3 linked regions of the Mus musculus genome follow. The protein of the gene in region 3 interacts with the protein of the main gene of each other region in a biochemical or structural test. Links are inferred from orthologs where the notes say so. Each region holds a gene or a part of one and is shown on either strand. Other genes may lie near its edges. The genes, in order: Ago2, Cnot1 and Tnrc6a.

What was found.
Region 1: the proteins of Tnrc6a (region 3) and Ago2 form a complex in vitro, tested with the Homo sapiens proteins (2 studies listed by BioGRID). The link is inferred for Mus musculus from reciprocal best matches to the Homo sapiens genes TNRC6A and AGO2.
Region 2: the proteins of Tnrc6a (region 3) and Cnot1 form a complex in vitro, tested with the Homo sapiens proteins (2 studies listed by BioGRID). The link is inferred for Mus musculus from reciprocal best matches to the Homo sapiens genes TNRC6A and CNOT1.

What each region holds. Positions count from the first base shown.
Region 1 is NC_000081.6:73,105,886-73,116,383, reverse strand, and holds part of Ago2 (protein argonaute-2), read left to right. Parts: coding exon 1-81; intron 82-898; exon of another isoform or gene 899-2,481; coding exon 2,482-2,676; exon of another isoform or gene 2,677-2,832; intron 2,833-4,562; coding exon 4,563-4,697; intron 4,698-5,748; exon of another isoform or gene 5,749-7,910; coding exon 7,911-8,012; intron 8,013-9,019; coding exon 9,020-9,219; intron 9,220-9,367; coding exon 9,368-9,476; 3' UTR 9,477-10,498.
Region 2 is NC_000074.6:95,720,861-95,731,358, forward strand, and holds part of Cnot1 (CCR4-NOT transcription complex subunit 1), read right to left. Parts: intron 9,802-10,498; coding exon 9,553-9,801; intron 8,388-9,552; coding exon 8,224-8,387; intron 7,873-8,223; coding exon 7,755-7,872; exon of another isoform or gene 7,720-7,754; intron 6,825-7,719; coding exon 6,723-6,824; intron 5,329-6,722; coding exon 5,155-5,328; intron 3,806-5,154; coding exon 3,656-3,805; intron 2,606-3,655; coding exon 2,425-2,605; intron 779-2,424; coding exon 646-778; exon of another isoform or gene 579-645; coding exon of another isoform or gene 420-578; intron 1-419. Other genes in the region: N-lysine methyltransferase SETD6, read left to right, coding at 420-578.
Region 3 is NC_000073.6:123,185,746-123,195,699, reverse strand, and holds the end of Tnrc6a (trinucleotide repeat-containing gene 6A protein), read right to left. Parts: intron 9,138-9,954; coding exon 8,979-9,137; intron 8,348-8,978; coding exon 8,207-8,347; intron 6,913-8,206; coding exon 6,805-6,912; intron 5,856-6,804; coding exon 5,634-5,855; intron 4,201-5,633; coding exon 4,130-4,200; intron 3,642-4,129; coding exon 3,502-3,641; intron 3,122-3,501; coding exon 2,749-3,121; 3' UTR 404-2,748; downstream 1-403.

The sequences.
Region 1 (10,498 bases), on a different chromosome or scaffold from region 3:
TTCCAGCAACCTGTCATCTTCCTGGGAGCCGATGTCACCCACCCACCAGCTGGGGATGGGAAGAAACCTTCTATTGCTGCCGTGAGTGTCCACTCTTTTCCTCTGGCCTCTCTGCTGGTATCATGTTGCTTGGTGGGACCATTGCCCCTCGAGTGTCTGTGGTCTGTTTGCAGTGGTATGTGGAGGAGAAAGACATGGAAGTCACCACTTGCTTGGCTGGTCTAATCATGATCTAACGGCAAATAGGTGATAGGGTGAACCTGATGATGTCACAGGTGTGTGGGCTGCCATCTACTCTGCATTCTGTGGTGCATCTGATGGGAACATTACCTCTGGCTTCTCCATGTCCATCAAGGTAGCCTTGGCCAACCACTTAGCATCCACTCCCTCCACTCTCAGTAGGCTGGCCTGTCATGTTACAGTGGACAGGCATGGACTTCTGTAGTGGGGTTTGGAGTGCAGAGTGCAATGGGTGTCCTCTTACCACTCCTCTAGTTAAAGAATACCGGGTTCTAGAGCCAGGGTGGTTGAGCATATGAAAGGAAACAACAGCTCTTTTGGATCGTTTGTCTGAACCATGGATCCTGCCCTCACAAATGCCCACCTTGCCCAATCAGTTTCTCTAACTGGTTGTTCAAGTGCCTCAAAGAAGTGCTCACCTGGGGAGTGGGACCAAAAGGCCCTGAGTAGGCTCCCGCACTTCTTACTTGGCATGGCAGTACCAGCGTCATGCCCAGCTGAGCCTCAGCATCAAACCGTTCTCTACCACTTCCCTACAATTAATCTTTCTGAGCTTTTTCACATGTGCTGCAGTCAGCTCAGTGCCCTGGCATGCGTGTGCGTGCGTGCGTGCGTGCGTGCGTGCGTGCGTGCGTGCGTGCGTGCGTGTGTGTGTGTGTGTGTGTGTGTGTGTGTGTGTGTGTATAGTAGGTGCTAACCAGACTTAACATCACTGTTTATTTAATCCGGATTAAAGGGGTAGAGTATGGGATATGATATAGGATGAGACCCCATTTGCATCATGTGTGCTATGCATAGTTCTTGGCTGTGGCTTTCAGGTAGTATCCAGGGTCAGGATCTCTAATGCCAGAAAAGACCCGAACAGCCAATGTGCTTGGGGTCTGGCCCAGGTCTTGGGCTCTACCTGGTCATTGTTGGCTTTGTTTTCTCTGAGTCACTGTGTGCAGGGTCCTCTCTGTAGGCTTCGGAGACTTAGGCAAATGCATTAGTTACACACGTGCACACGCATACACACAGTTCATTGGATTGACTTAGAGGATGCAGTCTTAAAACAAAGGCCAAGAATAATTTGTAGTTGTTCAGTCTACAAGACTAGAGGTCTCGCCGGGTGTGGTGGTGCATGCCTTTAATCCCAAGGGAGGCAGGGGCAGGCGGATTTCTGAGTTTGAGGACAGCCAGGGCTATACAGAGAAACCATGTCTCGAAAAACCAAAAAAAAAAAAAAGACTGGAGGTCTCTGCGGTCCCAGTTCAGTTCTAGAGTCCAGGAGAACTGGAAGCTGCTGGTCTTCAGTCTAGTTGGAACCTGCCTGCAGTAACAGGAATAGACAAACTTGCCAACAGCAAGCAGGCAAAAGGTCGAAGGCTGCCACTAAGAAAGAGGTGTGACTCGGATTTTAGTGGGTCTCCCCACCTTTAATGATTCGGCAAAATCCCTCAGAAGCTTACCTCATCAGCTGCTGTGGCTTGGGTTGATACCAGCTGTGGGTGAGTTGACAACCAAGATCAGAACCAGGCTTATCAAATTCTAAAGAGCAGAAATCTATGCTTATTCCTGGTCCCCTCGATTCTCCATCAATAGGACAGGTTTCTGTTCATGTTGATTTATCTCTATTTATGCCAACTTGAAATATTTTTTGAACAAGGAGTTTGGCAAGGCTTAGAGACGATGCTCTGTAAGCTTTTCCGAGGAGTAGCTAGCCACCTGCTTCCCAGAAGTCCAGGGCTCTTCCCTGTGTGCTTTCAAGGTATAAGGAAGTGCTTTCCCCAGCCTGGAAGTGGGCAGGCCCTAGCTGTAGCTGATCCGTTTACTTTTGGTCCCCTAACCTCAGAATCCTGGCAGCATTGTGGGGCTCTGACTCTCTGGTTGCTCCTTCAGATGAGCCCTAAAACAGCCAAGTTGCTTCACGGGGCTGTGACCTTCCTAGGGATCTAAGACTGGGGATGCTAACTCTTTGATGGGCATAAGGCAATTTGGAGACGTGTTTGCTCCTAAAAAATCTAGAGGCACCCCCCCCCCCCAGTTGCTTTTTACAGGTAACCCAACCCCCTGACACAGTAAGGCTCAAGGTTGCCTTTTTCCCGTGTACCATGGGGCAAGTATCCCATCTTGAGAAGGGAGCTAGCAGTACTATCTGCTGTGAGGGACACTGGGAGATGCTTCTTATAGGCCAATCTCCAGCTGGACCCAAAAGAGGGACACCTGGAGCCCTTGTCCCCTGCTGACCGTGTCTGTCCACAGGTCGTGGGCAGCATGGACGCACACCCCAACCGCTACTGTGCCACCGTGCGCGTGCAGCAGCACCGACAGGAGATCATCCAGGACCTGGCTGCCATGGTACGAGAGTTGCTCATTCAGTTCTACAAGTCCACCCGCTTCAAGCCCACCCGCATCATCTTCTACCGCGATGGCGTCTCCGAGGGCCAGTTCCAGCAGGTGGGCCGCTCTGCCATCCTCTCTGCCTCTGTCAGTCGGCTGCTCAGAGTGGGAAGGCGGATGGTGGTGGTGTGGTCTGTGTCTTAGGAGGTGTCAGGTCTCAGGATGGGGGAAGGCAGGAGGGAAGTTTTGAATATAGGCCTGGGCAGTGGAGACCTGGGTGAGGATAGAGCCTCAGTCAGGCCAGGGGATATGAAGGCAGACTGGGAATTTTTACCTGCCCTGGGCCTTTCTAAGATCTGAAGTGCTGGAGAATCGACTTACTTGCCTTGACCACAGGCTGAAGACATGCAATAAAGTACATTTGCTTCCTATTTAGGGCAGAAGCTGCAACTTTCTCCTCTTTAGAACAGATATTCATTGCCCTAGGAGTACACTGCCCTGTCTGGTTCAGTTCTTTCTGGCCGAGTCTCTAGTGCTGTGTTCTGCAAGAGCTGTGTTGACAGCTTCCACAATGTACTTACGTGACCTCAAACCCTGTTGCCTCTCGGTCCATCCCCCTGGGCTTTCGATCCTTCCCAGTGCTTCTCCCTTGTAGGAAGGCCGGGCCTGTCATTCTCAGCTCCACTGCTCAGAGTACCAGAATCCCCACAACTTAACTGTCTGCGCTAGAATTCTACATATATTTTTAAAACATTGTAAACTGGTAGAGACTGTTAAATCTGGGCAAGGTCAAGCATGATGGTGCTGCACACCCTTAGTCCTAGCCCTGAGGAGGCAGGGGCAGGTGGATCCAGGCAGGCAGAATAATAAGACTTCGATTCAGATAGGCAGGTAGATAGATAGATAGATAGATAGATAGATAGATAGATAGATAGATAGATACATACATACATACATACATACATACATACATACATACATACATACATAGAGAGAGAGAGAGAGAGGGAGAGAGAGAGAGAGAGAGAGATAGGGCAGAATAATAAGACTTTGATCCAGATTAGACAGACAGACAGATACTGTCCTGCCACAATAAAAAGCCACTATTTCTGGTACTTGTGTATCAAACTCTTCACATGAGGCCTTTAGTACAGGACCCACAGTTGACAGGAGGAAGGAAGGAGCATTGCTGGGTACTGTGCAGTACTGAGCTCAGGGAGTTCTGGTCTGACTCAAGTGAGTGCTTGCTCCATTTGTCTTTCCTTTCCTCTCAGTAAGCAAGCAAGTGGCAACTGTCTCTGCTGCGCAAGCCCATAAGTCTTCAGGAGCATTGAGATCATGATGGATTCCAAGCCAAGCGGTCCCTATGTAGGGACTTGACTATAATTTACTATCAAATCTATATAAGCTAGAGTCAACTAGGCAAAGGGAACCTCCATGAAGAAGTTGTCTCAATCAGATGGCCTGTTGGTGTCATGTCTGTGGGACATCCTCATTTTGCTGTGTGATATAGAAGGCTCAGTCTACTTGGGGCAGCACCGTTCCTAGACAAGTGGGCCTGGGCTGACTGAGAAAGCAAGCTGAAGTGGATATATTGGTGCATGCCTTTAACCTCAGCACTGAGGAGGTAGAAGCAGGTAGATCTCTGAAGTCAGGACAGTCTTGTCTACATAATGAGTTCCAGGCCGGTTAGAATAAACAAAAGCACAAAAGTGTACATAAGCAAGCTAGTTAGCTGAGCAAGCAGCAAGTACTGTTCTTCCATGTTTTCTGTTGTGTTCCTACCCTTCCTTCCCTCAGTGATGGGATGTGGTTTGGAAGTGTGAACTAGGAAACCCTTTTCCTTCCCAAGTTGCTTTGGGCCGGTCTTTTTATCACGGTATCAGAATGAAACTGGGCCAACTGTCGGAAGGCAGAGTGGTATACCTGACCCAGTGCTGGCAAGACTTGGAAAGCCATTCCCAGCGTGCAAGAGGCATCTGACGCCTGCCTTTGTCCTGCAGGTTCTCCACCATGAGCTCCTGGCCATCAGAGAGGCCTGCATCAAGCTGGAGAAGGACTATCAGCCAGGAATCACGTTCATCGTGGTGCAGAAGCGGCACCACACACGCCTCTTCTGCACAGACAAAAATGAGCGGGTGAGTCAGAGCCCCACGGCTGCCACAGTTGATGGGGACCCAGGCTCGGGTGTCTAGCAAGGCTCTGGTGAGGAGGGTCCAAGCACGAAATGTCATGTATCTAATAAATGATGGGAGAGGTGGTTCAGAAATAAATTGCCAGGACTTGTGACGGGGCTCGGGGGGGGGGGGGGGGGTGTCTGGCTTGGTTGGCAGAATGCTGCCTAGCATGTGCTAGGTAAGACCTGGGTTTGATCCCCAGCTTTGCATGAGCTGTGACCCCAGTACCAGGAGGTAGACACAGCAGCATCGAGAATTGAGGTCATCAGTGGCTACAAAATGAGTCTAAGACCCTGCCCCAGAAAGAAAGGATGGGGAGGAGCAGAGAATTGAGAGAAACCAGCCATTGAGGGTGGAGGACTGGGCAGTCAGAGTGTGAAAGGATGGAGTCAGCCTGAGGCTCTCCACAGAGCGTGCCTTTGACTGGGAGCATACACATCTCGCGCGCTCCATCTGGAGAAAGGTAAGGGTCCCCAGACATGCGTGTACGTGTGTGCGGGTGTCCACGTGTAGAGACCAAAAGACAAACATAAAATGTCATCCTTAGGATAGGCAGGATGACCAGCAAGCCCTGGGAATCCTGTTTGTGCCTTTGCAACCCCGGGATTGTAAGAGTGCCACCGCACTTGGTGTGTTTATGTGGCTTCTTGGGTATAAATTTAGGCCTTTGTGCTCACGTGGCATAGCAGGCACTGTGCTGACTGAGCCGTCTCCCAAGACCCCAAAACATAAGCTCTGCATTTCTAACAGCACAATGAGGCACACATCCATGTATAAAGACAGCAGCTTGAGAGACATAGGCTGTCTAGAAGGGCAAGACCTCAAGTTGTCTACCAGACCTTGAACCCAGCGCTGTGGGTCCAGACCCCTCAGGCCTGGGATCACCACATTGTTGCAAGACGGTCATTGCAGTTCAGCTTTGCCCAATGGCCTCCAGTGTAGCCCAGTGTGTGTTTGTAAGTGTTGTGAAGTGACTGAGGTATAACTTGCCACAAAGAAAGAAACCACTTACCAGTAAACACTGCAGCTGAGGTCTCCAATGGCCCCAGTGTTGCATCCTAAAATGATGTAAAGAGGAAAAAAAAATCACAACAGCAAAAGCTTGCAGGATTTCAAAGGGAAATTGACAAATACAGTGTCATGGGTGGATGTTGTGACACACCTCTGTTGGAACCTGAACCAGGCAGGAATGAGTGGGAGGGGCCAGAAGAGCTGCAGGTGCTGGATTCACATGGAAGGACAAGAAGTCTCAGGTGGTTTCCAAACCTTGATCTCATAGAAACCATATGTTTTGATCATTATGCAAATGAAGTTTAAGAATGCTTGACACTATCGCTTTGCTGCCTGCCGCTCATGCATTAAAGATAGAAAGGAGACGACAGAGCACTCACAGCTGAACAAAACCGAAAGGTTTCATACCAGCTCAGCTCAGCCTGGAGACTCGAGTGCATTTATTATAAGATGAGAAATGGCCCTGCAGACCATGAAGGGAAGCTGTGGCGCCTGAAGCTGGGTCCCTTTGCAGCTCCGTGTCTGTTGCTACAGGTATTACTGCCTGCAGGCAGCTCTCCTCCCTAGACCAGGCAATAATGAGGAAGCAGATTCAATCTGCCTCCTTGGATGCCCGGGAGGAGGGAGAAGATGCGCTCTGGGGAAGCAGGCGGCATCAATTTCCTTGGATGGTGACACTTAGCCAGGGAAGTCTGAAACGTGCCACAAATGCTTATGGAGTTAGGTATATTTACAAAATCATCTCTGGAACTAAACCCAAAAATTCTTTTTTAAAAGCTACCCATGCCAAAAGTCTTGGGATCCAGAAAGCTTATGGGCAGGCAGGTTTCCCACACAGACCTTCAGCTCTGAATCCTCACAAAATGTGGCGGAAAACAGTCAAAGGAGTTCTGTACTCTGAATATTAGTATTAGTCTTGGCTTTATGGTGGTCAGAAGAGGATGTCAGGTAGCTCCCTCCCTCTGACACTGAAACTTGTGGGTGGCTGAGAGCAAGCGTGTGGGTCTGGACACCCATTCAGTCCTCTGCAAGAGCAGCAAGTGCTCTTCACCACGGAGCCGTCGCCCCAGTTCCTAGTTACAGAGTTATTTTATGAGGTTAGTTTGCAGGCAAGTTTCAGCAACCCTTCAAGGAGTAATGTTTTGTTACGACCTGTGATATCACAAGTCTGCAGTCCTAGCTTCCAGGGGCTAAGGCAGGAGAGACATCAGTTCAGGAGTAGACTTGGGTGTAGGACAGAGGCCTTTCTTGGAAAGCAGACAAACAAAAACTTGTGCAGTTTAGAAAAGAGTGAATTTTGCACAGATTTGGGCACATGACACTGAAATCCAGGACAGAGGGTCTGAGTTGTGTCTCCATCTGTTTCCCTGGACCTGCCCACAAGAATAGACTATTGGGAGGACTGACCAAAGGGCATAGCACTCGGTCCCTGGTGTGTTTATTGTTAAAAAGGAAGTGCCAGGGATGGGAGTTCAGATCCGTAAGCAGCCAGGAACACAAAACTGACAGTTGTCCATTCCCTGAGTGCTCTGGGAGATTTTGTGTAGGAATTGTTTAGCTGGGCATAGTGACACAAGCCTGCCGTCCCAGCATGCAGGAGGCTGAAACAGGAGGATTATCTTGAGTAGAGTCCAATCTCAGTGAGCTCTGGTCCAACCTGGGCTGCTACAGTGTGAGAGCGTGTCTATAAATACATAATAGAAGGATTTATGGCATTATTATTGCTTGTGCTAGCAAGAAAAGTAAAAAGTAGCCATACCCGGGTGGGGGGGGGTTTCTCCCTCTTTCTTCCTCTTCCTCTCACTCCCCCTCCCTGTCTCCCTTATTCTTTCTCCTCTCTCTAGTTGAAATATTAGGCTGATGGTGGTAGTGTACAGTTCACTTCCAGCACTTAGAAGGTGGAGGTGGAAGCATAAGGAGTTGGTCTCATCCTTAGCCTCATAGAGAATTGGAACCTAGCCTATGTGATTGGAGCCTGTTCAGACAGGGCCTTCAGTAAACAGACTGTGCTTGACTGTAGCATCAGGATACAGTGTGAACAATAACTCTAGCCCAAGTTAAGCTGTGGAGATCGTTGGTACTTACCAGATTTTGTCTGTGCTGAGAAACGGGTGTTCCCGCTGACACACTGCCACAGCTGATGAGCCCTCTGTGCTGTTGCAGGTTGGGAAGAGTGGGAACATTCCCGCAGGCACAACCGTGGACACGAAGATCACCCACCCCACTGAGTTTGACTTCTACCTGTGCAGTCACGCCGGCATCCAGGTGAGGCGGCAGGCTCCTTTGACTGCCTGGGATGTTTTGTGGCTCTGCAGACAGGGCTCAAGCTTGCTCTGTGGCCAGGAGAGCTGGGCACTCACCTGGGGTCCAGAAGAGATAGGAAGGGACCAGTGTAGAAGTGGGTGTGGTGAGACCAAGATGTAAGGAATAGTGATCTGAAAGGCCAAGGGATACAGCGTGTTCTGTGCTGACCGCTAGTGAGCTAAAAGGTGGGACTGACTGCAGGAGCTGCAGCGGTGGGGCCTGGAGGGGCTCACGTTCAGCTAGCTGTGTGCTGACCACCAAGAAAATGCTAGGACAAGGAAGTACTGGGATGCTCCTCAGCAGAATCATGCCATCTTACCGATGGTAGAGTGAGGTCTTTGAAGACTGGTTAATAGTGGCGGGGAGGAAGGGAGGTGCCAGCAGTATTTCTGCTGGGTACATCAAATATTCTCAACTCCCACTTTCTGGATGTTAATATGTAGCTTTGATGGGAGATTTTTTTTTTCTTTTGGTATTATAAATAAAATACTATAGAATACCTAGCATACCCAGAGGGCGTTGTCTTTGGCTCAGCTCCTTCTAAAATGTTTTTTTTATTGCCTCATCAAATGCATATTTATGGGGTGTGATGTGCAATGTGATTTTTAGCACATGTATCACACCTCTGATGACAGGGCTTCAGACTTTGACCAGTTCTCTGTATTGGGACATTAAACATCCTCTCTGCTGGCTCTCTTGAGTCTTGGCCACATTTAATGTTACTCATCGAGCTGGGTGTAGTGATGTAGGAAGCTGAGGCAGAAGGATAGCCTAAACTAATGCTGCAAGGCTTGGAGGGAGGGAGGGAGAAAGGGAGGGAGGGAGGGAGGGAGGGAGGGACAGATGATTCTTCAAGCCTCCCAAGTGCTAGGATCCCAGGCATGTGCCACCATGCCTGCCTTAATAGGAATGCTTGTTCTTGGTAAGGTCTTATGGTGCGTCTTTCTTGGCCCTCTAATCTCTTCCAGGGGACAAGCCGTCCTTCCCACTACCACGTGCTTTGGGATGACAATCGTTTTTCTTCTGATGAGCTGCAGATTCTGACCTACCAGCTGTGTCACACCTACGTGCGCTGCACACGCTCTGTGTCAATACCCGCGCCAGCTTACTATGCTCACCTGGTGGCCTTCCGAGCCAGGTACCACCTGGTGGATAAAGAACATGACAGGTGAGTGTCGCACCTGGCAGGGGGTTAAGACGAGGCTGGCTTCTCAGGGGCTGTGATGGTTGCTTTCCATACACGTCTGGTCCCAGTGCCTTGCTTGGTATCCAGGAAAGACTGCATCCTTTTCCTCTTCTCTCCCATGTCTCTGCAGCGCTGAAGGAAGCCATACCTCTGGGCAGAGCAACGGGCGAGATCACCAAGCGCTGGCCAAGGCGGTCCAGGTCCACCAGGACACACTGCGCACCATGTACTTTGCTTGACCTGTTGTATTGTTTAGCGATTGTGTACCAAGTTGGATTCACACGAGACCAGCTACACTCAGACCAACAGATGCCCAGCCCTTCTGTGACAGCCAGCATCGAACATGAGACGTCTTTGGTTTTATTAGATCCTCCGTTTTCCAGAATGCCTTCCGTCCCAGATGTCAGACTTGGATTTTGAGCTGCAGGCCTGTATGAGACCCCAGTGTAGGAAACATGGTTTGCCAAACCTATAAGCTGCTCACTGAGAGTCCCGTTTCCTAAAAACAAAACAACAACAAAATGTCCTAAAACCAGTCTATGAACTCTCAGGGCTTTAAAACACTTTAATTTATTTGGTCATCCAATTTACTTGTTTTTAACACCTGATTCTCACTGAAACCGATGGGCTCCATCTAGCTGTGAAGGCTCTGAGCATGAAAGCCACACCATTTCCATTGGGGTTTTAAAGCCTGGCCCTAAGAAGTTGTCACTAATGTTGAGTTCTAAGGGATGCCATGCGCCCTGCAGCCCCAGGGCGTATGGCTGCTAGGTCTCCACAGTGTCTCTCGAGGTCACTGCCTGCCCTCGAGGCCTGAACAAAGGCACAGTGGCCAAGGAGATGGTCACGTGTGTTTACGGCAGTGACAAGTCCGAGAGATTGGCAGACAAGTGCCATTTTGATAAAAATTTATTTAAAAAGAGAAAAAAAGACAATATACTGACAGTCTAATCATAAGATTTGTCCTGTAGGACTGTGACATTTATTTTCCAAAGTTTCTAAAGAATACGGGTCTGTGGTGATAAATACAGTACAATCCTTTTTCACTGTTAATGTCTTTAATGTAAGAGAAGAATATATGTATCTGGTTTGCAGTATTAATGTGGTAGGTAGATGCTGTTTCCCTTTCGTTGACGAGGGGCGCTTCTTGTGACCTGCTTCACATATCAGGAGCTGTGTGGAGCCTGGAGACAGTCCACCTCTTGTGGCTTTTAGTGCTTAAGTAGAGGAATATGCAACTGGCTTCATGTACCAGCGATGC
Region 2 (10,498 bases), on a different chromosome or scaffold from region 3:
CTCAGAATTTAGCATATGAAAATAGGTGAAATTTTTCCTACATGACAAGTGCTGGCTAGTACCAAATCTTTGTTCTTAAACTTTTTTGTTTCCTGGTGGCAAAGATTAAGGCCTTTGCTGCTGAAACTGGCACAAGTATTTAGTTGGGCGAAGAGGTAAAGTACAAGTCTGTATGTACACCCCACTATATTGTGCACTAATATCCAATCCTATACAGTTTAAACAAACAGTATGACCCTACTGTTTCCCTTTAAAACCTTAAAAACATGAAGTACACAAAAATGTCAACAAGATTCTGGATAAAAAACATTACTGCCACAGCTACCACCAAGAAACTAATGTTGCTTTTATTGTAAACTAGTACCCAGCATTTCAAAGCAAACCACTGTCCATTATCAACTTGTTTTGTAATTCCTTAGACATGGCTCAGCATAATAACACAGCGAAACTGGGAATGCACAGAACTCATTCAGAATACAGCGGAAGCAGTCAGTGGTGGTGCACACCATCCATCCCAGCACTCAGGAGGCAGAAACAGTTGGATCCCCAAGTTTGAACCAGCCTGGTCTACGGAGTGAATTTCAGGACAGTCAGAATACAGGAGAAAAGAGCCCCTTTAAGGCATCATGACAGTACATCTCTCACCTTGTGATCTGTTCCTGGATTGCCTCAGTGTTCGCCTCAGCAAAAAGGTACAACATTGTGCAGCTGAAGTAGTGAGTGTGGCTGTTTGGGTACCGTAGCTGGTTCGCAATTGCATTTAAGAAGAGATATCGGCCTAGAAATTAGGGAAACTAGATTTAGGATTTGCTCTGAAAGGCCAGTATGAGAGACAAATGAGTTTCCTTAGGCTTTGGTTTCTTAGGGGGACTGATACCATCAGTCAGACATAATCTAGCATGGTGGGCCTTGGGCAAACTGAGTATTATTCTAATTTTGCGATTTACTATTGGTTTTCTGGATATGAACTTTTTTTTTGCTTCTGTAGGCGTTATTTGCAATCCATATTATGAATCAGCAAAATACCTTACATTCTTTAAAAAAATTTTTACTGAAAATCTTGATCCTACACAACAATGGAAAGCTAATCTGCATTGTCTCAACATCCAACTACTTAAAACATTTTATTTCATGTAGTACTTGAAAAATTGTACACATGAAATAAACATAATGAAGGCAATGTCTTCCTCTGACAAAAACAGTCCTAACCTCAAAGCCCTTATAAGACTCTTGCCCCTAATGATCCTTATACTCTGAAAAGTACTTTGGTAGAATAATTGGAGAGAAAGTTTCAAATCCAGAATCTCCCACCATGCTCAGGTGGCAATAGATCTCTTATCTGTATTTGATTATCTTGTTTGTACCATTGATCACAAAGACTCTTAAACACTTGTCTAAAGGACGTAACATGAGGCCTCAATTCTACACAAAAAACTACAGGCAACCAAGAAATGCTCAGAGTAGAAAAAAACAGTCTTGTCTTCTCAAAGATGAGAACAGCAACTGGCTATCCAATACCAAATGGCCAGCCCTGAAACATATGCACAGGTAACAATTATACAGCCTGAGCAGCTTATACTGTAAAATATATTAGTAGTCTCAAGTGATCTAGCAGTTCCTCCTGACATGCCCCACTCCTAACATCATGGTGGCATACTAGCAACAGACTGGATTCAGCTACATCTGGTAGTCCTAGATCAGTGCCAAAGCAGCGAGGGATGCCCTGAAGACCAAGTTCAAAGCAAACGCTAAGACTTCTGGCAGGAGCATAAAAACTGTGAACATAAGTAGTGGATCTGGACTGAAGCATGAGCTGCTCAATCTTCAAAACCACCCCCACCTCCTGCAGACAAAACTACACATGTGGCTGATAAAACAGAAAAGGTTAGCCCCCCACCCCCAAAATGTGTGTATATACATGCACATATATGCATGGAGTAACAATAAAAATGAGGTCATGAATTTCTAAGAGAAAAACAAGCAAACAAAACAACGAGCAGAGCTTCTTTAGCACTAAGCTGGGGATTCTGAATCTTGACCACTGAAACAAACAGCGCAGGAGACACCACAGCGACGTGCCCTGTACATTTCCTACAGAGGAACAGCAAGCTCTGGCCCATTATCTTCTTACACTCACTAATGTGTTCTGTTCCCTGTCAAGCAGACCCTAGTAATTGTTGGTAAAGACAAACTTATGTATGAAGCAATGTAGTCCGACCTTCAGATGTAGGCTATCAAAAAGAACATACTTATTTCCCACTTATTGCACTCTGGCATACCATCTTTACTCACAGGATAAGATTTGGGGCCATTTTCTTAAGCATTCCTTATTGTAGCTTAAAGGAAATTTCTAGATTCTTTCGATTATATCTGTGGCAAAGTACAGAGTCTCTGATGATGCCAATGGCCAGCTGCTGCACTCACCCTCAGTGTCTAGGTCCACAGCCAGGTTCTGGAAGATGTCCATGTGTGCTGAGTGGGTGATGGTGCTCATTGAGGGCGTGCTGCCCTTGTTGTGGATGTGTGCGATAGCCTGAGTCCCTACGTAGAGCACCAATGCATTGATAAGCTGGAGGTTGTAGCGATTCCCGGGCTCATTAGATACCTAAATGGGCAAAGAGAAAACGTTACCATAGAACTATGAATAACACTTAATATTTCATTATTTTTTCCAGAGACGGGATCTCACAGTGCAGCTCTGGCTAGATTCAAACGCAGAGATGGCTAGGCCTGTGCTCCCCATGCTGGGGTTGAAGAAAGGTGAGCACCACTGTGCTGGGCAGCACTGCTGTTTCTCAAGCCTCCTTTCTCTGAAAGGGATAGGTAGCTGTTGATATTTACATATAAGAAACTTGTTCAAGATTGTGAGCTGTACAAATGTGCAGCTGCCCTCAGAGTGATTCTACTAGAAGACGTGTTCCTTTGGAAAACCAAATACTTTTGCTCATGATACAGCTATAAAATAAATTTCAAGCACAACCTCAACCATATATAATTTAGAGAAAGAAGTTGTTGCATTCTATGCTAACTCTGCAGAGCCAATTCCACTTCAAGTCACTCCATAAAGGAAATTTAACTATAATCACTCTAGAAATGCTGTCAGGTCTTGCAGGAAAGTAATGTTTTTTTCCATAGTGGTCTCATCTATAACTGGGTCAAGGACGAACTATTAGTACAGTGTGTGACTCAGGTAAGCTAACCCAATGAACAATTACAACAATACTTAAATCTGGGGATGGATGTCCAGGGATGAGGTCTTGCTCTAAGGTGGCCACAAGCTTGTCACCTGTCTGCCCCAGTCTCCTCTGTGCTAAACTAACAGGTATGGACTGCCACATTCAGCTTCAATGTTTCTACATCAGCTTTAAAATACTAATCTGAGGGCTGGAGAGACGGCTCAGTGGTTAAGAGCACTGACTGCTCTTCCGAAGGCCCTGAGTTCAAATCCCAGCAACCACATGGTGGCTCACAACCATCTGTAATGATAACTGAATCTCTTCTGGGTTGTCTGAAGACAACTATGGTGTACTTATATATAATAAATAAATAAATCTTTTAAAAAAATACTAATATGAAAATGGGACATAGATAGACAGTGCACACAAACTGCACTCTACAAAAGACACAGCAAAGAACTTAAGTCAAATCAACTGACCTGTAGGTTACTACGCAGATCAGACAGGAAAGTGACCGGCGACCGAGTTTTAAGATAAGAATCCAAATCCTTTTTGAACTGAGGCGGCATCACTCCAGTGAAATTGGTGAGGATCCGAGGTGCGATGTTAATTTCGCTTAACATGTCCACCTGCCACACATCCCAAGAATCACAATCAATCACAGATGTTAACAAGCCCTTCCCCTTCACAGACGTGTTATGATGACGTTCTAAAACTATACATACACATAGACTGTGATTACTACAAATCCACCTTTTCTTGTCACACAATGTTAGCTGTTTCTCATTATTTGAAAAGAAATTAGGGGTTGGAGAGATGGCTGAAAGAGATGGCACTGACTGCTCTTCCAGAGGTCCAGAGTTCAAATCCCAGCAACCACACGGTGGCTCACAACCATCCGTAACAAGATCTGACTCCCTCTTCTGGAATGTCTGAAGACAGCTACAGTGTACTTATATTTAATAAATAAACTCTTAAAAAAAAGAAATTAAAGAATATTTTGTGCCCATCTAATTTGCACCATTAACCATTTTTTCCAACCTTACATTTCTTATTTGTTTGTTTGGTTTGGTTTTTCGAGACAGGGGCTCTCTGTAGCCCTGGCTGTCCTGGAACTCACTTTGTAGACCAAGCTGGCCTCTAACTCAGAAATCCGCCTGCCCCTGCCTCCCAAGTGCTGGGATTAAAGGCGTGCGCCGCCATGGCCGATCAGATTTCAAATCAGTACAGGAGATTACTACCAAGAGTCCCAGCCACTGAAAGAAGCCCCAGACAAATATATGCTTTAAAATGTTTAAGAAAGGACCTTAAAAAAGAAGAGCTACAAGCAAAGTTAAAAGGCTACTTGGTGGTATGATTTTTAAGCGGTTCGTCTTCCTTAAATAATTTCAACACATGCACATGAAAACTTGTGAGCTATAGACATTACAAAGATCACTTTGTTCTTCAATTATGCAGTGTGGGACCAGCAACTGCCTACCATTCAGTCTGGGGTTTGATAATTAAACCATGTTAAAAATATGAGAAAACAGTGAACTAATATTCAACGACAGTATCACCCTCATCATCAGCTACCCTAAAAGTATCAGTACCTAAAGTGTGTGCACGCTGGAGAGAGGGGGACTAAATATACTGATGATCAGAGAAGGGGCTGAAATGGTAAGATAAAAAATTTTCCTTTAGGAAAGATGGTAAGAGCGCTGGCTGCTCTCTAAGAGTCCAGTTCCCAGTACCCACATGGCAGCTCACGATCATCTCAGACTCTAGTTCCATGGACCCACACTACCTTATTGCCTCTGTAGGTCCCACAGGCATCTGCTGCACATGAACTCAAACATACACACATAAAATCAATCTAAGGGAGGAAAACTTTAAAAAACAAAAAATAAATCAAGAAAACATTAAGGAAGTAAAAGTTAAATCCCCAGTAAAGCAATGGCAAAACAAAACAAACGTGTCCCATCTGCTAAAACTTTACCTTCAGATTAGGAGTGAATGGGTCTGGGAGCCTCATGTTTCTTGGGAAGGCACTCAGGATCAAATTTCTTAACTGGATACAATTAGGAGGGATCACATCACAGAACCCATAATGGTAATCACAAAGGAACTCTGGGAAATCATGCAAAAGAACCAGCAGCACTCTCAGAGTACCCTGCATACAAACGGAAAAGTTCCATACTAAAAAAGCAGTAGTTTTTCCTCCATTGTCGAAAATAGCAAAAGTATATTTTATTAACATTAAAAACAACAAAACCTATAGGCTTTAATTAATACATGCAGTTAAGATTATAAAAAAGTTACATGCAGAAATCATGAAAAAATTAGCTTTTGGAGCTGAAGCCTTAAATGAAGCACACAAATATTCTGCAAACACCAATGCTGCCACATTTATCTTCAGAAACTAGAAAGAGGACTAACAAAAGTGAAAAGGCAAACTAACAAGAAAACTACTGAAAATGGGGATGGGATCAAAGCTAGCCTTTTTTAGTTTTTAACAAGTTCGGTAAATTCAACAATTCTGATATATAGATAGGAAGAACACCTTAGCAACTTGAGATAGCCTAGTATATTTAAGAAGGCCCTAAGTTTTATCCCCAGTGCTATGGAAAAATAAAGTCAAATTATAAAAATGCATAACAAAACAAAAAACATGGGGAACATGAGCAAACACTGGAAGGAACATGACAAAAAGATACATCTATAAATGAAAATCTCACTAAGAAGGTGAGATAGCGGGGCTGGAGAGATGGCTCAGTGGTTAAGAGCACTGACTGCTCTTCCGAAGGTCCTGAGTTCAAATCCCAGCAACCACATGGTGGCTCACAACCATCCGTAATGAGATCTGATGCCCTTTCCTGGTGCATCTGAAGACAGCTACAGTGTACTTAGATATAATAATAATAATAAAAAAAAAAAAAAAAAAAAAAAAGAAGGTGAGATAGCGCATGCTTTTAACAAGAGTGAGAAAGAGTCAGGAGGAACTCTGAGTTTTAGGTAAATCAGGACTAAATAGTGAAGCTCCGCTTCAAAAAACTAAACATCCCTGCCAAGATGACCCTGCAGTTAAAACACTTGCTGCTCTTGCAGAGGATCGGGGTTTGCTTCCTAGCACCCACACGGTGGCTCTCAACTATCTGTATCCAGTTCCTGGGAATCCAACATCCTCCTCTTTATTCTCTGAGCACCAGGCACACATGTGGTGCACATAAATGCACGAAAGCAGACAGGAAAGCAAAAGTCATACACATAAAATAATCTACCAAAAAAGTTAAACAAGAAAACATTAAGGAAATAGAAGTTAAATTCCCCAGTGAGATTGTAGCAAATGGCTAGGATGGTGGTGGTTGGGGGTTGGGAGTGCAGTGCAAGAGATATACAAAAGATGAGAGAACAACTTTCCATTGAAAAGGTACATTGGTAGATGCACTAGAGTGCCACTAGAGTATCCTTAAGTCGGGCCTCTGAGTATCAAATGATTCTGTAAAAGCATATCAACAATAGTTCCCATATAAAAACACTTTTAAGTTATTTATAAATAAAAATTACCTTGTAGAGGATTTGCATAGGTTTAGTGAGTTCCACATTTCTAAGGAAAGGTGCTAAATATTTGAATAAATCAATCAACAGCTGAGCATACATAGGCCACCCCTAAAAGAAAGAAATATACATAAGTTGTAGTAACATTTACAAGTTGTTTGGCTACTACAAACTTGCCCGTCTCTACTGCATCTTATCTATAGTAACCTGACACGAGGGCCTCTCCTAGATTGGATCCTAGCAAAATGAAGCATCAGCTCAGTGTGGTGGGCGTGTCCATAACCCTACCTGCCACACCGGAGGCTGAGGAGGAAAACTTAAGTTCCAAGCCAGCCAGAAACATAAATATCCAACAAAACAAAAAGTCCAAGTATTACAGTAGTGGATAATGTTATCTAAAACAACAGGACTCCAGAGACTTTGGAAAATATTTAACTTTGTGCCTATAAGAAAACTAAAAAGAAAGGAGAATACCCTGAGGAAATTGCAGAAGTAGTATCAAACCAGCTACAGGCTGCTTGCCATAATTCCTTCTTTAAGTCCTGTAGTAAATAACCTTGCTGAACTCAGAGCCTCAATTCTGTACTTTCAGCCCCAAGTGGCCTCCTTACTACAGTATCACCAACCACACAAATTCTAGTTCATTCTTTTTGTGTGCACACCATGCATGTGTCTGTGTGCCATGGATTGCATTTGGAAACCAGAAGACAAATTCATTAAGAGGCTACTTCACTTTCAACACAATTTTCTTCTGGTCAGATGAGGGTACTTATTATATGCAGTACTCCTTTGCCATTTACTGCAGTGACAAACTCCTCTGAAATACTGTTAACTCCAGCATAGAGAGACTGGCATACCTGGTCCATAGCAAAGCTAGAAAAGCAATACCTGGTCACCCAACAAAGCCTTCAGATGCAGTCAAGTACTTGATAAGCCTAAGCCTCTTCTACTACTAAGTGACTAATAAAATTGACATAAATAGTGCTAGAAAGCCCCAGGTAGTTACAGGCTTCATCTGTAGGAGATAAACTGCAGCCACACCTTCTGCTGTGGCGTATGTGCCAGCATTCTTGCAATAAAGATCCGATGGGAAATCAATTCGAGCCAAGCATATACAAAGCCAGGAGCTTTAGTAGGTCTCAAGATGTGGAATGTATTGCTGAAAAAAAAAAAAATTCAGAACCACAAATTGAAATATAGTAAACACATGTAGACTTTACAATGAAACACATCAAAACATCAAAGTTCTACCTGACTTTTACCTCACTTAACCAACAGCCCTGAAATTTCAGCAAAGTACTGCCTGTGATCCCAGCACAACCTCTGACACCTACAAAAATCAACCATTAAGTTGGGTGTTGGGGTGTGTGCCTGCAATTCCAACTCTTGGACGCTCGAATTGGGAGTTCAAGGCCAGCCTCAACAATACAGGAACTTTTGAGATCAAACCTGAGCTATGAGACCCTGTATAAAATAACAAATAGAAATCTCTACTATACACAACACTCACCAGAAAGCAGTAAGAGTCTGGAAATTAATGGTTTCCAACACATGCTCGGGTGCATTGAGCTCCAACAGCAGCATGATAAAAATCCTATGGTACGGAAGTTGCTGAAATTCACTCTGCCGAACATCATGATCCTGTAGGAGAACTCCCACTACTATACCGAGAACCTATACAGAACATACAGATTACATCCCATCAACCACACAGATAAGCCACTTGTCACTTTTACCTGTGTCTTGGATTGAACCTAGGCCCTCCCAAATGCTGAGTACTTAACACTTGAATATTATAGTCAGGCTTTTAAGAAAACAAAAACAAAACAAACAAAAAAACCAAAACTTTGCACAAAGTCTCACTAAGCTGTCCAAAAACTGGCTTTGAACTTACAAGTTCCATGTGATGTTCTTACCTCCTCACTCAGTCAGGCCTGCACTACCAGCAGTGGCTTATTTACCCTGAACTCTGTAAGCACTACAAACAATAAAGGAAAGGATACATGCTGTTTAGACACAAATTTCTATGCTGGCAGCCAGCAAAAGGGAAATTAGATTTTCTGTCTTGTTTTGTTTTTTAAATTTGTTACTGGACCAAACTTCTATATTCTCAATAAAGGCCACTGGCTTTTCTAAAGGTATAGAAACCTGGACGTCTCTCCACATTTCATCATGTTGAGCTCTAACAAGGCTAGACTGTCTAATGTGACCCAACGGGGCAACGATTCCCACTTTGCTTGGCAGAAGTGTGGGTTCTCAACGATAAGTGCAGGGATAGTAATGACCCACTTGTATTTCTCCACAGACAAAACTACAGTCAAGGTTTACAGTCTTGCACTAGTTTGATATTCAAATTTTCATGATTCACGCTGTCTAAATCGGGTCAATAATTAATCAAATGCCATTCCTAGTGACCCATCCAGACATGAGTGGAGGCCGGAGTGTACCAGCTACCACAATCTCTTGTTTAGATCATCATCAAAACACCAACACACCAACTGCATCTCCCTCTTCTAAATTCTGCTACACAATATATGGATACTATCTCTTCTATTTCATTTCCAGATGAAAAAGATTTGGGGGTTGGGTGTGGGGGTGCATGCCCTTCAATCACGGCACCTCACGGGCAGGGGAAGGTGGATTCTGAAGACAGCCTTGTCCACAAATTGGGTTCCAGGCCAGCCAGGGCTACAGTGAGACCTTGTCTCAAACAATGGTGTGTGTGTGTGTGTGTGTGTGTGTGTGTGTGTGTGTGTGTGTGTGAGAGAGAGAGAGAGAGAGAGACACTACAATGGATCAGAGAACACAATAACCCGCAAGTCAAGAAAGGATTCCAGACCTTATTGAGCAGGTTGATCTTTGTGACAGTGTTGGTGGCCTCCCCAGAGTGCTTCACTAACAGTGCAATGAGGCGGACAAAGGCATCCAGGTTGTGGTAGCACTTGGCCCGGATCATGGTAGGGTTAGCCGCAGGATTGTGCTGCTGCTCCGCCTGAGCACGGTAACTGATTTCAACACACATTTCAGTGCAAAGACGAAAAAACCTTGTTATGAGGTCATCAGTTTTAAGTATTCCTTGTTGGTGCATCTACAGTGGGAACAACCAATCAACATGGTTAAGACAATCCTCAAAATCAACTTTACAGTTAGCTTTCAAATGGCAAAACTCTAGTTTATACTCATTTAACTTCTTACTCTGAAAGGATGCCATTAGGAAAATGACGTCCCTGTCATGAAGGAGACATGGCAGAGTTCCTCTCAGTTTTAATTCATGGAGAAGATTGAAGCTGACAAACAGATATTAACATTAAATAAAAGGACATCTACAGTTTGGGAAATTATATTAATAAAGCTAACTTTTAGAAATTCTCTTCATAGATGCCTTCTTCTTATTTAACCAGTGGCAGCGTTTTTTAAAACATCATCTGCAGAAAAATCAATAATTTAATAAATTCCCAGGATTATGTCACTTAAACGTAATGATCTTTTATACTGTTACAATGAGTAGAAAAGACTAGCTCCAGGTCAGGAAATGGTACATAGCAACACTGTCTCAAAAAGACAGCAGCAGGGAAGACCACTAACCGGTAAAGCAGCAGAGGAAAGGGGTCGGCGCTTACTTAGGAACCAAGGGGGGGACGGACGGACATAAAGTCATCTTGGAAATTTTTAAACAATTTAATTATCTTGATAATAAAACAGCTAAAGGTTTGAATTATACACAATGTTCCCAAACCAAGGCAGAAGGCCAGCAAAAGGATCTTATTCCACATTTGACACGTGAA
Region 3 (9,954 bases):
TGAGGCACGGTGTTCTATGGCGCTGTTTCATGCAAATGCTATCCAGAGCTCATTTTGGCCCAAACTCTAGTCATGTCAGGGGCTTTTGGGTTTATTGGAGTTCCAGCTCTAAGAATCACCCTCTGTAACACCCCAGAGCTCCGGATCAGTGGACACTGAAGAGAGACTGCAGGGCAGCTTCTGGCTGAAGTGTAGGCAGGAGCACACTGCCCTAGGCCTGAGCCGCTGCACGAGTCAGTTCAGGCTCACTCACAAAGGCCCCAAGGAGTGGGGAGCTCTGTCAGACACAGGCCTGTGGGAAGGGAAGGCTAAGAGGGAGGTCCCAATGACACCTGGGATTTGGAGACAATGGGGATAAGAAAGCAGCAGTTATTAATAAGGCAAAAAGCAAAACCACTTAAAATATTTTTTAAATCAAACACTTTATTTCCACATAACAAGCGCAAAAAAACTCCCAAACACTTTTAACAATACAATTAACGAAGTCATGAAGTCAGATATATACTACTCAAAGCCCCAAACGGTCACTCAGCTTAACGGTCCAAACATCTCCACACATGGTTTTTCAAAGCTACCTTTGGTTTTTGGAAAAACCAGTATGGACATCAACACACACCGAATGCATTAAACATTTGCTTAGGTTACGGTGTCCAACATTAGCTTACACCTGGCAAGTGGAGCGTGATTTGAAGTCATACAGGTTCTGTGCCCAGAGCTCCTTCAGTGAGGAGGGGCGAAGGGCACAGGGAAGAGAGGCCAGTCCAGGTGGTGGCATCCCCACTGTGTGAGGTATGAGAGGTTAACACTAGGACGCTGTCACGGCAGTCAGCTTCGTGTCCCAATGGTCCCGCTGAGGCTTGAGATGGGCACAGATGGTGGGGAAGGTGAAGCCAGAGAAGAGCTTTGGGCAACAACAAGCTCCCACAGATGCTCAGGGGAGGAGGAGCAAGCTACAGTTCCCACTGTTCTCACATTATCTCAGGGTGATTGTGGACAAGTTCAGGTAAAATGTTCAAATATTTGCTTAGATTTTTAATCTGCCGCTCTATGAGAAGAACTCTCACATGCAGCAACTTTGTAACTTTCATTATAAAAGAGCCTACAAATAAATCCACAAAAAAGAGACAATTAATGTTGAGCAGCCAAAAAGTCATGGTTTATTATTTGAAGATTTCATAATTCAAACACAACCAAACTGTACATTTACAATCACATCCTATTGTAAACAGTTAAAAGCCACTGACCTCTTTTGCATCTTAGGACACAAACAGTTAGAATCAAGGCAATGAAATGATGGCGTATTCTGTACTGTTAAAAGTTTACCCTTGTTTAGTCTCTCTTTGACTAAGCAAGCATTATAATACCATTTGTGGGCAAAACAACAGGGGCTAGGGAGGAAAGAAATTTTAAAATGGTGTAACTCGTTAGTTTGCAACAACATTTAAAATTTTTTATACAACAAACAACTCTGTAAGCCCAATGTCTTGGTTACAGTATGCATAGTTACTGATCTCGGCTTTAAGGTACAACAGTTAAACATGAACACAGTCACAAGAGAGCAGAGACATGAGAGCCACTGATGGGGTTACAAAAGTCACCTAGCGATTAGCAAACCATCATCACTCACTACTAAAGGACAGCATCTGAAAGCAGACGGCAACTCCAGCTCGAAGCGCGTTTTTTTCTTTTTTCTTTTCTTTTTTTTTTTTTTTTCTTTTTTTGGCAGAGAAAATGTTGAACAGAGCAATACGTAGTATCAGTGCTAAAAGTTGGGTTTTCTTCTTTCCTATAAGAAACTACAAGATTTTTTGACCGGGGAACTGGTTTCCTGAGAACCATGCTCTTTGATTTAGGACAGGAATAGAAAACAGAAGAACATGGCCAACTGCTGCTCTTTTCCCAGAGATAGAAGCGTCTTTTAAACCACCCTCCTTTTTTTTTTTTTTTGTCTTTTAATTTTTTTTTTTTAAATGATGGAAGAGTAAACATTTTTTTTCTCAAAAAACAAACAAAAAAATCTGTAAACAAGAAGGTTCACCGTGGGAACCTTCAAAACAACATGGAAAGCCTGTTCAAAGTGCAGGGCCCGTCCTGGGCAGCAGGCGGGCTGCAGGTCACAGCGGTGGCCACAGTTTCTCAAACTGTAGAGCGAAATTCTTTAGTTTTACAACATGAAAAAACTGGTGCAATACTTTCATTAAGAATCCTACGTCAGTATCTTAACTTGATCTTTTCAACTCCACGATACCACACTAAGGTAGGCAACATGAGGCATAGTAGAGAGCGCACGCCTTGAGAACACCCTTGAGTAAACATCTACACTGGAACAGCTGCCCCCATATTGCCGATTAGACGGAGAACATCACTCAGTGCAAAGGTAAAAGCTCATACGTCAGCCCCAAAACGGTTTTGCAAAAAATACAAATAAAAATAAAAGGTGGGGATGGGGATGGAAATGGAGGAAAGAAGGAATCCGAAGGCTAAACATGATGAATACACAAGTGAGCTCATTCCACACGGTAGCTGTATGGCGCTGTTTGGGAGTGTAAATAGATAGATACCCTTTCACATTATAATATTGGCCTGCATGATTCAAGTATTCAAACTGATATGTTTTGGGGAAAACAAAGTGGAGAATGTGCAGAAAACAGCTGTTCCCACAGGTGCCCTGGCTGCAGGCGGCGAGCCCAACTTAGTGCTCCTTTCCTTCTCTTCGTGAGGTCACAGTTTACGTCTATACCTATGCCATTACATGGACTCCCCACCCCCACCCAGGTGGTCAACAGAAAGAAAAGCATTAATGGGGGATGGGCTGCTAATTCCCCGGGGGTCGCTGCTCGGGGGACCCCACAGGCTTGTGGAATAATGTGGGGTCCCCCAGAGGGAAGTGCCGTGAAGGTCTCCACAGTTAGCTCCCGACAGCCCAGCACCATTCCAGTGATTGACATCAGTCCGGCTGGAGAACGAGTGGGAACAGTCGAGAGAGCCCAGCCGGCTCTGGCTGGACCCGAGAGACTGCCAGCCAGGAGAAGGGGTCAGAGACTGACTTTGTGCAAAGAAGCGACTGATCTCCTCTTCACTGGCAAACTCAGCGAGAATAGTAGTGTTCCCCAGCACACACCTAGAGGAGAGGGCACAACATGAGGTCTTCTAGATGCATGGCTTCATAAGCTCAACTAGCAGTGTGACCTGCTCCGAGAGAAAACCAAGGAGGTGCAGAAGGAGCCTGGCCTGCTCCATGCCCAGAGTGAATGTTCCAGAAGGGGTTATGGGGCATCTAGACCAGGTCTGCCTCCCATAGGCAACACAAGGGCTTCTCCAGGATCTAAGGTCACGTTCTATTTTCTGAAGTAGCCTTCAACGCCTAGGCTCAAGTTATCCCTCCGCCTAAGTCTCTCCTGGTCCACATTAACCAGGTCTACACAGGGGTCTTGGGTTGGGCTTTTACTCTCAGCTCTCCCAGCCTCTCCCCTCCCCATCAGGAGTCTTGGGGCAACTTACATGTGCAGAGACTTTTGTGCCTTCACTACCTCTTCTTTTGAACTGTAACGGACCAGAGCATTTCCATGTGGGAGGTTCAGATGGAATGTAATCAGTGGGCCATGCTGCATGCACAGGGTGCGCAGAGTTGAGCCATCAATCTAGACAGAGCAGGCTGCGGTTAGGGCCTCCATTGTGAGAGCCATTGGAAGGTACCTCCTTCTCATGCCAGGTTCAGTGCCTCTTCCTTATATGCAGTGGGCTAGAGCTAGGCGATGAGTCATCACCCCAGGCACGGCTTCATGTCTTCCCCCACCTACTCCATGACAGAACCTCAAGACACTGCTCCCTACGAGTGGGAGAGTAGCCTCCTAAGAAAATACTTAGGAAAGAGTAGACCAAGCTCTCTGGAGGGGTAATATAATCCCACAAAGCCACACTTGCAAAGCCCAGCACCACTCAGTACTGGGTGAGACATAGGTATCTGCATTACTGTGCTGCCCTAAACATAACAGCATGAAAACCACTGGATCAGACTAGAGGCAGCGAAGTGTCACCCTCTGCCTGGCCTTGATGAGCAGTGTCAGGCCTGTTTGGAGCGCATAGCTCTCCCCAGCCCACTGTATGCACTGAGCGGGTGCCTCCTTACCTGAGGTGTGAGGTTCTTCAGAACAAGCCAATTGGTTATTCTCCCTGAGCTGCTCTCACCCCAGCTGGAGCCTGAATAAAGAGCAAGCAGTCAGCACTCTACAGCTCTGCCTGAATGACTGTTTAAGACAAGTACAGCCAATCAAACGACAGCTAATCTCAGTCCTCGGGAATCTGGGCTCCTTTCTCTTTTGCCTACTTTCCCCTCATGCAACAAAGATCTGTGATATCAGCTTGCTCCAGCCTGGATCAGGTGCTGAGCCCTACCTTCAGGTGCCTCTATTCCATGGCATCTTTCCATTTAGGGTAAACTACTTCCAAACGGTGCCCAAGGGCAGGCCTCAGGTAAGCCTTTCTGCATCTGTCCCTAAGACAAGTACCTTTAAGGGCACTGAACTGTTTGGCATCAGGTATCTTTTGATTTTGTCTAGGTTACTGAGTGAGTTCTCCACTGAGCCTTTCCTGCATGAGCCTAAGGCAATCCCTCTCCTTTAGAAAGTAACATCTAAACATGATTAAGAAGCACCTGGCCCCGTGACACCTTACAGGTATTTCACAGTATGTCACTGGGCCCTATGTCTGCTTGACCTTAGGGGTCAATAGCACCCACTTACGCTTTCAAATGTCTGCCTAAACAGTAAACTTCATGGTGATTCTTGTTTGTTTGTTTGTTTGTTTTTGAGACAGGGTTTCTCTGTGTAGCTCTGGCTGTCCTGGAACTCACTCTGTAGACCAGGCTGACCTCAGACTCAGAAATCTGCCTGCCTCTGCCTCCCAAGTGCTGGGATTAAAGGCGTGTGCCACCACCGCCTAGCCATGGTCATTCTTGGGATGGGCCAAGCTACTACCAAAACAAGCCCAATCTCTATCTTCTCTCTCCAGCTTAATTTTCCATGTACCAGTCTTGTTCTGCAAGCCAGCCATGAGTTAGGAAACAAACAGACCTTTTAAGATGCATTCCCTTAGGGCTGAGGGGGTGCACACGTTTAATCCCAGCACTTGGGAGGCAGAGGCAGGTGGATCTCAGTGAGTTTCATGCCAGCCTGGTCTACAGAGTGAGTTCCAAGACCCGCCAGAGCTACTCAGAGAAACCCTTTCCCCAAAACCAAAACCATTCAAACAAAAGAACAGAAACAGACAGACAGACAACAAAAAGCAAGCGTTCCTAAGGAGTTTCTGAGAAGAGACCCCACTAGCACTGCTTTGCGTAAGCATTCTTACTTATTTAGACAAGGTCTCCAGGGTCTCATGTACAGATGACACCAACATCCTCATACTTACTGCTCCTGCCTTCACTACCCCTGGGCTAGGATTTCAGGCATGCACTACCATACAGGTTGGCTAAACATTCTTAAGGAAATTAATCAAGACTCCTAAAGATAAGAAAATTATAAAAGGTAGAGATGAACTACAATTCTGCTCAAGCTCACTCTGCCTTTACAGAGTGTGACCCCGCAGCTCACAGTGTTGGTCCACAATCAAGCACCACAGCTATCGTGTCTTACCTGGGGTATATCTGGCATCAGAATTTCCCCATCCTCCACCTACACGAAGGGGAGAATTATCCCACGTAGACAAGGGTGGCTTCTGACCAGTCAGCCCCGGAGGTGGGCGGGACGGAGCAGTGATGTTTTTAGGTGGCAAAGGGACTTTCCACAGCTCATGAGCCAGAGAGGTGTTTGTAACTGAACCAGGAGACCACGTCAATTTGGAATCACTATTTCTGGCTACTCAAAGGAGAAGGGGGAGAAAGAAAATAAGAAAAATTGAAGAAGGTGGGATAATGTTAGAAAGAGAAAATTCCCACAATAATATTCACTGTCCCATGAAAAGTGAGTTAAATAAACAAAAACTACCAAAACCCCTAAATCTAGGTAAAGGCCTACAGAGAAAGACAAAGAGTCCAGAGCTGGCAATCTTCCTCAGGACTTGGGCCCTCACCTGATACTGTCCTGAGACTATGCAAGCAGAGAACTGCTCTCCGAGATTACAACACAGACTATAAGATACACACGTGGACTCCTGGCCAACTGGTCCACTCAAGAGAGACACAGGCCACAGACATTTTAAGCTCATCATTTCCTCCCAGAAGAAAGGCTATAGCAGTTATTCCAAGTTAGCAAGGTGGTGCCACACAACACTCATGGGGAGAGAGGCAACTATGTCAAAGAGTGCTAAAAGACGGGAAGAGAAAGGGGTGGGAAGGTCTTCAGCAGCTCTTGAGCATTCAGACCTGAGTTATTACAAAGTACCTGGCCATTAGACCAAGGCTCCTCCAAGTGTGGCTGCAGGAAGGCTGGCCACAGCAGAGTATTCCTGAGCTGCAGCAGATGCACACTGAAGCCCAGGGCTCTAGCCTTCGAGTTCACTGCGGGGGCACAGCATCATACAGTACCTCCCACCTCCCACCTCCCACATCCTATAGAGCTATCAGTCTGGAGGATTGAGAATAAAGAGCGAGTACAAGTGGCTTTCAGAAGACTCTGGATTCAATGGTGCTTTATCACAGGGCTGAGGTGGCTTAGATGGCAGAGAGCTGTGTGCTAAATGTAGACTGCTTTTCAAAGGAGAGACATGATGTTTGCAATACTTGGATAGGATCACAAACCCTCCCCCAACAACCTGAGAAGGCAGCAGAGGGGAAGCCCCAGGCTGGCGGTTTCTGAGAGCGCCCACCTGAAGTGCTTTGTGCTGTACTGCTGAGGGGAACATTGTAGTTGGAGGCACGAATGGATGACCAGGCACTAGTTGAAGGCAGCGTGGTGTTCAAGGATGAGGATGACCCTGCAGAAGAGAGTCAATGAGCAGAGCAGGGCATGGGGTTTAGGAAGCTGCAGGGCCACAGCATCCTCAAGATAGGAGTTGAAAGCATCTGAATTAAAGATAGGGCCCAAGATAGCAGCTTCCTTTCTGCTGACTGGTTCTGCCCTGGCTCAGAATAGGCATTTCCTTCTTGATCCCCTAGAGTGTGCAGTGGCTAGATGAGCCAGGCTCTCCTTGCAGCACTAAAGAGGCTGCTTTTGCTCTAGCTCTTCACTCTGAACAGCAATGACTATGTACTGGCAAGACAGGTCATCAAGGCAGCCCGTCACAGGCAGTACCCAAGAGCCTTCAGCCTTCTCCATATTTGGGCTCTGTAGTTAACATATTCTCTTTAGTCTTGGCCTAGCCCTGACCCTCACCTGGGCACCAGGACAGTCCCTACTGTCCATTCTGCACTCCATTTAGATGCATTGACCCTTCCACTAGAAACTTGTGGTCATAGCTTTCTTTTTAAAATGTTAGCCACTGCCAGTTGTATACTTCATTTACACTTGGAATGTTGACCGGCTTCCCCAGGACAAACAGCCTGCCTGCCTGCCTGCCTGGGATTTCAAGGTTCTCACTGTGAAACGTATGTACTTTCTAAAGGGTTGTCAGGTGAAATAACCCTATGACTACCATGGGGCTGTTTTTTACCATAGGCATATGTGAATATTTTTTCCATTGTTTTGTCCTAGAAGAAAGATTAATAAAAAGTTACTGAAACACTAAAATAATTGATTTTTTTGTATGTGTGTGTAAAATATATTCTCCTTTCTATCCCTTTTAGTAATTTACAAAGAATGTAAAAGGGCTAACAGTCTTTACTGATACACAGCTTATTAAGGTAGCAAGTGTTTGTCATATCATAATGCTAAGTGAAGAATCGTGTCATTCTGAAATGGCAGAATCTACCAAAGAGCTACGTAGAGGCCATGAAAGCCAATTCAGCAGAAGATAGTAAGGCACAGGCCAGGCTGAAAAGGAGCTATAGAAAAGTTAGTTGTTTATAGAAACTGGTTCTTTATGGAAAGAATGTTCTGAAAGTCAAAACATTAGATTTTATATTAAAAAAAGAGCTACGACCACAAGTTTCTAATGGAAGGGTCAGTGCATCTAAATGGAGTGCAGAATGGATTGAAGGGGCTGTCCTGTGCCCCTTCACCTGTGAGGTGAAGGTCACCTGCCCAGGTGAGGGTCAGGGCCAGGCCATCCTGACCTGTTATCATCCCACACTGCTGCACAGCATTCTCACACCAGCCCATGCCCCACGTACCACTGTTCCTGTCCCTGAGGTGGTCAACTTCCCGCACAGTATTAATTGAAAGACTGTTTATGACACTGCCAGGAGTGACGTAAGGGTCAGTTTCAGGGTCAATGTTTGGATAACCTTTCCATGGTTCACCAGGGCGAAATTCTGCAAATACAAATTCAAAATCAGTGCACAGCTTTAAAATCCAAATTAAATAGCCACACATTCATCTCTAAACTCTGTGTGACAACACCCTAAAAGGCCAGGCTGGTAACAACATAGTAAGTATTACACACTCCTAATCCATTACTAACTTGCTTATTTACACAACTGAAATAATTGCTCTGAGTTTACATCTTTTCAGCACTGCAGCAACTCAAGCAGGCCAGAGATGCAGCTCTGGTGACCCTCAGTGTCAAATGAGTCCTTGACACAGTCTCTCCTCTGACACAGTCTCTCCTCTGACACAGTCTCTCCTCTGACACAGTCTCTCCTCTGACACAGTCTCTCCTCTGACAGACACAGTCTCTCCTCTGACAGACACAGTCTCTCCTCTGACAGACACAGTCTCTCCTCTGACAGACACAGTCTCTCCTCTGACACAGTCTCTCCAAGAGACTCTTCACACCAGTGGTGAGTTCATCCACCATCACTGTGTGGAACAGAAAACTGGAGCATGCAGCCAATGCCCCAAGTTCAAGCTCGCCTCTCCACTGCATCACATCAGCGCTTCTGATCACAGAACCCTGTTAAGCTATGGCTGAGACCAGACATGGAGAGGCTGTAAGCATCTTACCTGGTGGCCAGTTAACACTGCTAGAGCCGTTAGGCGATTTGGCACGTGGCCAGCCATCTCCTATTGAACCTGGAGGACTGGCTGGTGAAGTACTGCTATTCATAAAGTCATAGGGAACAAATGGAGACTCTTCCAGCCTAAAACCACTTGAAATAGCACCTAAAAAGAACAATGTGATGGTGAAATAAATGTGAGCCAGCTACAACATCAGCCTCTTCTACAGCAAAGCTTCCCATCAGGGAAATGGACGCCAACCTGCCCAGTACACTCTATGAAGATGCAAGAGAAAAAGCAGTACTCTGCTCCCTGACAGACAGACAGACAGCAAGGATTCTGACACACCACATGAAGACGGGGTGGAAAGAACCAGTGATTCGGGGATTCCTGTTGCTTCTTTTCTCTGTGCCTCTCTGCTTATAACTTCATTCTGATGAAGACAGACCCTTTGCTCAAGTGCCAGATCTCTATCTCTGCTAATTGTTCTCTGTGTGCGAGTGCGAGATTCATACAAGGAAGGCAGAGAGAGTCATTTCCTGGGGCCGTGAGTTGTCCAACACTGGTGCTGGAAAGTAAACTGAGGGCCACTATCGAGTGGAGAGCTGGCATTAACCATGTGCACTGTCTCCAGCCCTACCTCATTGTGGCCTACAAGTTTTACTGCTTATGTATTACTCTGTCTTCTGCCTCCTTTCTGGCTCAGATGCAGATGTTATCAAGCTCTTCTCTTTTAGCCTTCCTACAGTTGAATAGTTGGTAAGTTAGGGTATTGTATGAATTCTTCATGAATTCTATGAAGATACTCAACTTTAGCCTCTTGAGACTCAGCACACCCAGGCATTCCTATGGAATACTGCCTAAGACTTCTAACACAGCTCTATGTGCTACATCTTAAGAGTCCTTATACTGTACCATGGATGCCCACATTTACCTCTGCTAACAAAAGAGCTTCTCTAGGGCAAGTGTGTATAGAAACATC